Linked DNA regions of Bombyx mori. Each later gene encodes a partner of the first gene's protein in a complex. Links are inferred from orthologs where the notes say so. Each region holds a gene or a part of one and is shown on either strand. Other genes may lie near its edges.

Region 1 (4,332 bases):
CCTCATATATAAAATAACAAGAGATACTTAACATTAAAATAATTGTTTCGTTTCTATAGTCTTTTAAAAGGCTATCCACAGTCTAAGTAACTGTTTGTCCTGTGGAACATTTAAGTTAATAAAGTGTAGGGTGCCTAACATCAAATCTTACAATAAATAGTCCATAACTAAATGATAAGTGTTATAGGTAGTTTTCCAATTACAGAGCATAATGCGACTCAGTGAAGCACAATGCCAAATTATGCTGAAGATTAATTGGAAAGTCAATTAGTTTTCAAATGCATCAGCAGAGTGCGCTAAGTTAGCACAGTTTTATTTAATATTGATTATTTCTAAGAAACTACGACGAAACGAAAGCCTTACATTTTTTTTCAACATTAAATAATATTACTAACGATAATATAAACAAAATTTCGATCAATGCCAACTTAAAGAAAAAACACTTGTCAATTTATTCTGTCACTGAGTTGGTACCGATTGCGAGTATCAGCAGTACTTTTGAGAGTGCTCGATTGTGCGAAGCGTTGCTGTAGTTGGAACATTCAACGTTGAGCATTATGCTGCATAATGCGCTCTTGTGCTGTAATTGAAAAACTACCAAAATGATCATTAATAATATTTTCTTACAGTAGAACCACTCCCCATACTTTTCCTTACTTAAACTTAATTTTTATATTAAAACTTTTAAAATAAGAACGAAATTATGATCCTATAAGAACAAACTTTCCACATCTAACAAATATTTTTTACTTTTTAGTATTTTTTAGCGAGCTGAAAAAGAAAGTTTTTAATTTAAACAATCATTTAGTTAACTAAAGCAACTTAACTTATAACAAAAAATAATTAATGCAAGATTAAACAGTAAAAGTACTTAAATTATGTTTACAACTCAAAAACCAAAGAAAAACATACTATGTTATATATTATTTGAGAATAATCCTGAAGATCCTGGTCAGTCCAATGGGATACTCTTATTATATTATTCTATTATTCTGGGCGGTCCTTTATAAGTGTGCTAAATTTCAATTATATAATGTTTCGAGGTGGGTTGAAATAATGTTCAAAGATTCCAATGCATACAGGCAAAGCTAATAAACAAGCAAATTAAAAAACCAGTCATTATTATTATTACATGAAGAAACTAGAGAATTTATGTGGTTACGAAAAACTTATACTTGGAATACAATATTATGTTAATCATAATTGTTAAACTTTTACTTAGTATGGTGGTAAGCCATTACAATAATTTAGCTGTTAATATTTATTCTCTTTAAAATAACATTATACAATGTTTATGTGGTTTTACATTTTATGATTGGTAGGTAATACTTTAGATAAATTTTGAAATTAAAATCTAGATAAAGAAGTATTCAAATTTATGTTATTTTGGGGGTCAGTTAAAAGTAAATAATAATTTTAATTTATTTCCTATCACTAGACATAACCTCCTGAGAGATGTTAAGTTAACATACTTTTGGCTGAATAATACACGATCTTCTGGATAGCTTGCTTACCAGAATAGTTCAATGTTGTTTTAAATTTTATTTTACTGAAAAACAAATAATAAACTTTATTTAACTGTAAATGAAACTTAAATAATTACTAATAATGTATGTGTGAATAATGTATGTGAGTATGTGAATGCTATCACCCACCATCTTGAGACTTCATCCTTATTATTCTTTTCATGAATGGATTTATTTTCAAGAACTTGCATTATAATCATTACTAGCGACCCGCCCTCGCTTCGCTTCGGAAACATTAAAACACACAGAAACCAAAAAAAAAAATAAAAAAAAATAAAAAAAAGTAGCCTATGTTCATCAGGGACAATGTCGGCTTCTAATGGAAAAAGAATTTTTCAAATCGGTCCAGTAGTTTCGGAGCCTATTCGAAACAAACAAACAAACAAATCTTTCCTCTTTATAATATTAGTATAGATTAATAATAATAGAAAAAATAATAGAATAATAATAGAAGTTTTTATATAATATATGATATTATATAAAAATAAAAAATACCCTCGGTGTGGATTGGGAGAGGCCTATGTCCAGCAGTGGACTGATGATGGGCTGATGATGATGATGATGATGAAGCAGTAAAGTTTCAGTTACTCCCATAACTTGTGTGTTCATAGTGCGTAATGTAATTTTCTATATAACAAAAATCTCATTATAAGGTTTTGGGGAATTTATCTTTTCGTGTTAGTGTGGAATCGTGTTGTAAAATACCGTGTTATAGTAGGGCTAGCTACCTGTACATTAAAATATTGTTATTACATTTCACTTATGTCATAACTTACAAGTAATTTCATGTTCCATAGAAAACTATGTTGTGAAGTAACAGCAAAGAGTTCATTTAAGTTCAAGGCCGTTCATACATATCATGATAAACAATTATTACATTTTCAATAAATAAATAAAATATACAAGTACCTTCTATGTTTTCAATTTAAAAATCGCTCCGGTGATCGTGCCATGTCGTTGTATGAGGCACTGTTTTTTATCAGTTTCAAGGCAAACTGTGGGCGGTTTCATGTTCGGTTGTATTTTACAGGCCTGTTCTGATATGGCAACGATTATCCCTGCAGAGTCTACGTGCGCGGCGCCTTTTGATGCCAAGCATAGTCCTTGTGGGTCCGCGATAAGACAGCCATTGACATTAGGCATAGACATGATTTCTTCTACGACTTTGTCTAGATCGTTTTCCATTTTTATTAAACAAATTTATATTAATTTATAAAAAACACGGTCAAAGTCGACTGTCGACTGTCTTTTGGAAACAAAACAAAAGATTCTTTGTTGACTTTTGACATAGCATCAGCACTGACAGATGTATTTTTTTAAAGTCTAGTTGGACAAGCAAATAAAGCCGTGTATAGAACTAAGTTTTTTGTTAGACTGAGCCGTGTTTGTGTTACGATAGCGAAATGGTACAAATAATTGAAAATAAATTTTTTCTCCTACCGACGCCGAAAGTTCGGTTTTCGTCCCGCTATACAGGGAAGAAAGTGTAACTTTTCCTCCTGCTGTACAGGAAAGAAAGTGTAACTTTTTCTCCCTGGGTTAAGTGTGCATGCGTCTACGTCTGTCTACGTCTGCTCTCACGCATCTAAAATTCTCCGCCATTGTTGTGCTCGGGTAATTTGCAATATTTAGTGTTTAGTGTAAAAGTAAAATAAACAAAAGTCAATAAAATTTAATAGTGAAGTATTAAACAAAGATGAATTCATCAGACAGTTCTTATTCAATTGGTAGTAGTTTTTTTAAAAATTGACCATAAAGATTTACATTACGACACAAAACTGCCAGCAGTAGAACCATCAGAGGACCACGTGCACTGGAACCGGAAGAAAGGACATACTTATGCGATGCCGTGGAGAAAAAACTAGCCCTAGAACCTCCTACAGGCGATGCTAACACTCAATGGGATACCGTAAAATCTCATCTCTGCGAATCCCTTGAAGAAATCAAGGCTTCCCGCAGAGAGGGAAATGCAAATCGGAAAAAAAACCAAAGTATGGATTTCGGAGCAAACAAGAGAAGCTTATAAGCAAGAGGAAAGACATCAAAGTGAAGGGATTACAGAATGATGACGTCAGGAAGACTTATTCTGACCTTTGCAAGGAAATTAAAAAAGCGTGCCGCCGAGATAAAAGCTGTTTCATTGGAGACATTTACACTGATATCGAAAAACATTCACAAAAATACCAACCGTCTTATTTGTTCAAGAAAGTTCGCCTTTTGTCTCGGAAATTTAAACCAAGATCCTGGATAATTGAAGATCCCAATGGCAAGCCTATCACTGATTTAAATGCCGTTGTCGAAATGTGGCGTAAATACTGTGAAGGATTATATGATCAGCCTCAGTCAATGAGTACACAACTCCCAGTCTGGGACGACATAACCTTAGAACCTTCAATAATACGATCAGAAGTAACAGAAGCCATCTCTCGACTAAAGAGCAATAAAGCTCCAGGACCGGATCACATCACGGCAGAAATAATTAAATCGCTGGGAGATAGGGGTGTGAATGCAGTGCATAGCATCTGCAATTACGTATGGCAACATGGCGAGTGGCCCAATAACTGGACTGAGTTGATCATTTTGCCGCTTCATAAAAAAGGGTCAACTAGGAAGTGCGACAATAACCGCACGCTAGCCCTTGTCTCACATTGCAGCAAAGTTCTACTGTACATTCTCAACACCCGCTTGCGCCACTTCCTAGATTGGCAAATCCCCAAGAGCAAGCCGGTTTCGTTAAAGGGAAGGGAACACGTGAACAAATCCTCAATATCAGGCAGCTTATCGAGAGGTCGTATGAGTTCGGCAC
Region 2 (3,872 bases), on another chromosome or scaffold:
AGAAATAAAAAAAATATTTATAAAAATATTGCTTTCATTTTCTGTATGCTTAATGGCAATTTCACAGGTAAATTACCTATTATTTATTTGGTATTTATGACTTTATAAGTATTATTATATTTTATAAGTATATATTAAGAATATTTTAATATTTAACGGCCGTCTGGTGTAGTGGTAAGTGACATGGTCACTACACAAGGGGGTCGCGGGTTCGAATCCCGCCAAGGGAAGATATTTGTATGATAAATATAAATGTCTTTTCCAGGGTTATGGATGTGTATTAAGTATATGTATGTGTATAATAAAAATCTTACATTTATTTCCGTTATCTGGTACCTGTAACACAAGTTCTTTACGAACTTATCACGGGACCAGTTAACGTGGCGTGATAGTTAGTAAATATTTATTTATTTATTTATTTATAAGCTAATGATCAGACGAGACTGCTTGTAACAAGGGAATATTTGTACTGGAATTCCTGGTAAGAAACAATTAACAAATTTCGATTTTTTATATATAAACCATCTATCTATCCTAGGTTACAATGATACAATGTGCATATGAGGAGCAACTGTATGATTTACATAAAGGATACTCCTGGCTATGCTCAGCTCTATGCTGTCACTATTAAACATTCAATACAAACTTAAAGAAGAATAGATTTATACTGGGTCATCATTAATTGTGATACTACAAAATATTCTGATTAAAGTTTATAAAATATTAATGACTAAATGTACATCAACTTATAGGGGTTTTAGCATTAACCATTTAGTTGAACTTTACTTTTTCTATTTTGTTCCACTATCAAATTGACAAAGAAGCCATGCAAACTGACATATGGACATGTTAATTAGATTTACAGTAGTAACAATGTCTGACATTAAAATGAAAAGACATTTTTACAGTACATTAATTTTTCCAATATTAATATATTGTATATATTATCTACCCATGCAGGTTCCACCATACTGACAGTTATTATGAAAATCTATTAATTTTGAATGTTTTATTTTATTTCTAAGCTTTTTTTTAATGTGAAAGTTTATTGTGAACCTAGATATTTAATAATATGTTTATACCTGTCCCAGAAAATACAGCATAGTTGCATAGCACACGTATATGAGGCATCTTAACTATTATTATTCAAATGAATCCATTAAGCTACTATCTCAGTAAATCCTTTTATTATCAAACATGGCATACAAATCAGGAATCAAATTTGCAATTATCATGTTTTATATAATAGCTATAAAATTTAAAGATTCAAATAACTGAATAAAGTATTTTAGTAACCAAGTAAAGTATTTTAGTGACTTCTCATATTATTTTGCTCATAATTATTTAAAATTACATATTATGAACTTGCAACTTGCTTCAAAGGACCTTCTAGATACTGAGCAATAGCATTGATTTTTTCTTTCAGAATGCCAAAACCAACAGCCTCATTCGCATAAAGACACAGTAATAAATTGGCAACTTGTGTGATTGCAATTTTCCCATTTAAACAATCTACTAGTATTAAATGTAGTCCATCTTCTTTAAAAACATTTCTGCCGTGTTTTTCATAAGCTGACCAGACATTACTAGCGATTGCAGCAGTGACTCTAGCATCCTTATCATTGTAACCAGAATAAGCTAGAAGTGCACCTTGATGATTCAACAACCTAAAATCAAGAAGCACCTGTAATTTTGATGTTTAGTGTCTAATAAAATATGTAACCAAACTAAATGTTTTCATTACAAAGTGTTTTCTACTCCTCCTGTATTAGCTTGACTTAAAACTTCTGTTAATGCTTTCGGTTTTAGCATTTTGAAGGCTTGGTGCTGTTGGATTTACATGAAAATGGCTAAGTACGAAGTTAAACTTGAATCGTTTTCAAGTGTTGATTTGTTATTATTTTTTTTTTTTTTTTTTTTTTTTTTTTATTGCCTTTGTAGGCAGACGGGCATACGGCCCACCTGATGGTGAGTGGTTACCGTCGCCCATGGACTTCAGCAATGCCAGGGGCAGAGCCAAGCCGCTGCCTACCGCTTAATACTCTCCACAAGCCTCGTTTGAAGAAGGACATGTCATAGCGCTCGGGAAACACCGAGGAGGGGAGCTCATTCCATAGCCGGATGGTACGTGGCAAAAAAGATCTCTGGAAACGCACTGTGGATGACCGCAGTGGCTCCAGGTAGTATGGATGAACTCTACTCCGGTGGCGGGCGGTGCGATGGTAAAAACGAGATGTTGGTATCATCTCGAACAATTCCTCAGAGCACTCCCCATGGAACATACGGTATAAAATACAGAGGGAACCGAAGTCCCTCCGCAGACCCAGAGGCTCCAAACGATCCGAGAGAATGGGATTATCGACAATCCGAACGGCCCTCCTCTGTATGGAGTCAAATGGAACTTAATTTTCGACGTCAACGATCTTAAATTTTTAGGATAATTTCTATTTTCCACTTTTACGTAGGATTTGACAACTATCAAAATACCGTCGCCGTCAAATATATTAAGAGTATAATCTATGGTCGCCGTCCGTGTCTCAATGTGTGTATTATCTATGCATCCGTGACAATCCGTGTAATCCACTGAACTTGAACTTTTTGGCGGGAACGCGAGGAGTGAAGTTGTGTGATTTGTTTTATTTTGTCTATTTAGTGTTTCTTCGGGTTTAAATATTTATTATAATTAATTAAGCAAATTACCACCCTTAAGTTGGCCCCTCTTATTGGATATCTTTATTTTTATCGCTCAGATTAGTTAGTTTTTATCAATTATCGTTTGTTCAACGACTATTGGTAATTGTTCGATCATAAAAACAATTAAATTCCCAATTATTAATTATTTTATATCTAATAAGCAAACCATCACCTCACGCCTACATTGCGCATGCGCCGGTTTTGTCAGTCAGCTGGCAATGGCCCTATTTACTAGCGTTTTGTTAACAAGTGCGTTTTAAATTAGATATACTCTATAGAGTATATCTAATTTATTGCCCTTGTAGGCAGACGAGCATACGGCCCACCTGATGGTGAGTGGTTACCGTCGCCCATGGACTTCAGCAATGCCAGGGGCAGAGCCAAGCCGCTGCCTACCGTTTAATACTCTCCACAAGCCTCGTTTGAAGAAGGACATAATATTAAGGGATCATATCTCTTATAAGGTTTGGCACTCTTTAATACGTACACGCGAGGCATATCTAAAAATAGAAAACAATACGTAACTGATAATATAAATATTTACCAAATAATAAAACAACACATTGATAAGTTTGAATAAAAGTTCTAGACAAAAACATCATGAATAAACCAGATTTTTACCAACAAATTTAAAAAATATTGTTTTAACTACATAGACAACCCTACAAACCTGTACCTATTTGTACTTAGGTCGTTTCCGTTTCTCTTATTCTCATCCCAATTGACCCCTATTTCGTTGTTATTTGTACCTAAGACGTCCCCAATATCCCCAAAAACAACAGATTTTTACATGTATTTTTATTTTATCAAATACATTAAATCCAATAATAACTGAGACTTACCTTTAATATATATGATGGTTCAAACACTAAATAACGTTTATAAATCACAGTCGTCTTCTATTATAATCAAATAAATAAAAGAGAGCAAAGTTTCTAGCACTGAAATAATTACCACCACAGAAAGTTAATTTGAAACGCGATTTTTTATAAGTTAGCAGCTATTATCATGCATATTCAGAGTTGTTTTGTGAACTTTCAACATTCTACTATTAAACTACAAAAAATGGAAGATTTTGCAATGAATATAAAACTAATATTGAGCGTCGAAAGAGTTTCCTGTTTTTTTCCCAATTCGCCTCTCAATCCCTAATCGCCCCATTTTACGGTACTTAATTT

What was found.
Region 2: ragulator complex protein LAMTOR5 (region 1) and roadblock domain-containing protein 3 share a complex: the UniProt entries of both Homo sapiens proteins name them as parts of the ragulator complex. The link is inferred for Bombyx mori from reciprocal best matches to the Homo sapiens genes LAMTOR5 and LAMTOR2.

Annotation. Positions count from the first base shown.
Region 1 is NC_085110.1:1,232,923-1,237,254, reverse strand, and holds the start of ragulator complex protein LAMTOR5, read right to left. Parts: upstream 2,817-4,332; 5' UTR 2,712-2,816; coding exon 2,439-2,711; 3' UTR 2,436-2,438; intron 1,550-2,435; exon of another isoform or gene 1,089-1,549; 3' UTR 1-1,088. UniProt on the Homo sapiens protein: As part of the Ragulator complex it is involved in amino acid sensing and activation of mTORC1, a signaling complex promoting cell growth in response to growth factors, energy levels, and amino acids.
Region 2 is NC_085123.1:7,142,563-7,146,434, forward strand, and holds roadblock domain-containing protein 3, read right to left. Parts: upstream 2,484-3,872; 5' UTR 2,402-2,483; exon of another isoform or gene 2,401-2,401; intron 1,901-2,400; 5' UTR 1,813-1,900; coding exon 1,745-1,812; intron 1,668-1,744; coding exon 1,358-1,667; 3' UTR 649-1,357; downstream 1-648. UniProt on the Homo sapiens protein: As part of the Ragulator complex it is involved in amino acid sensing and activation of mTORC1, a signaling complex promoting cell growth in response to growth factors, energy levels, and amino acids.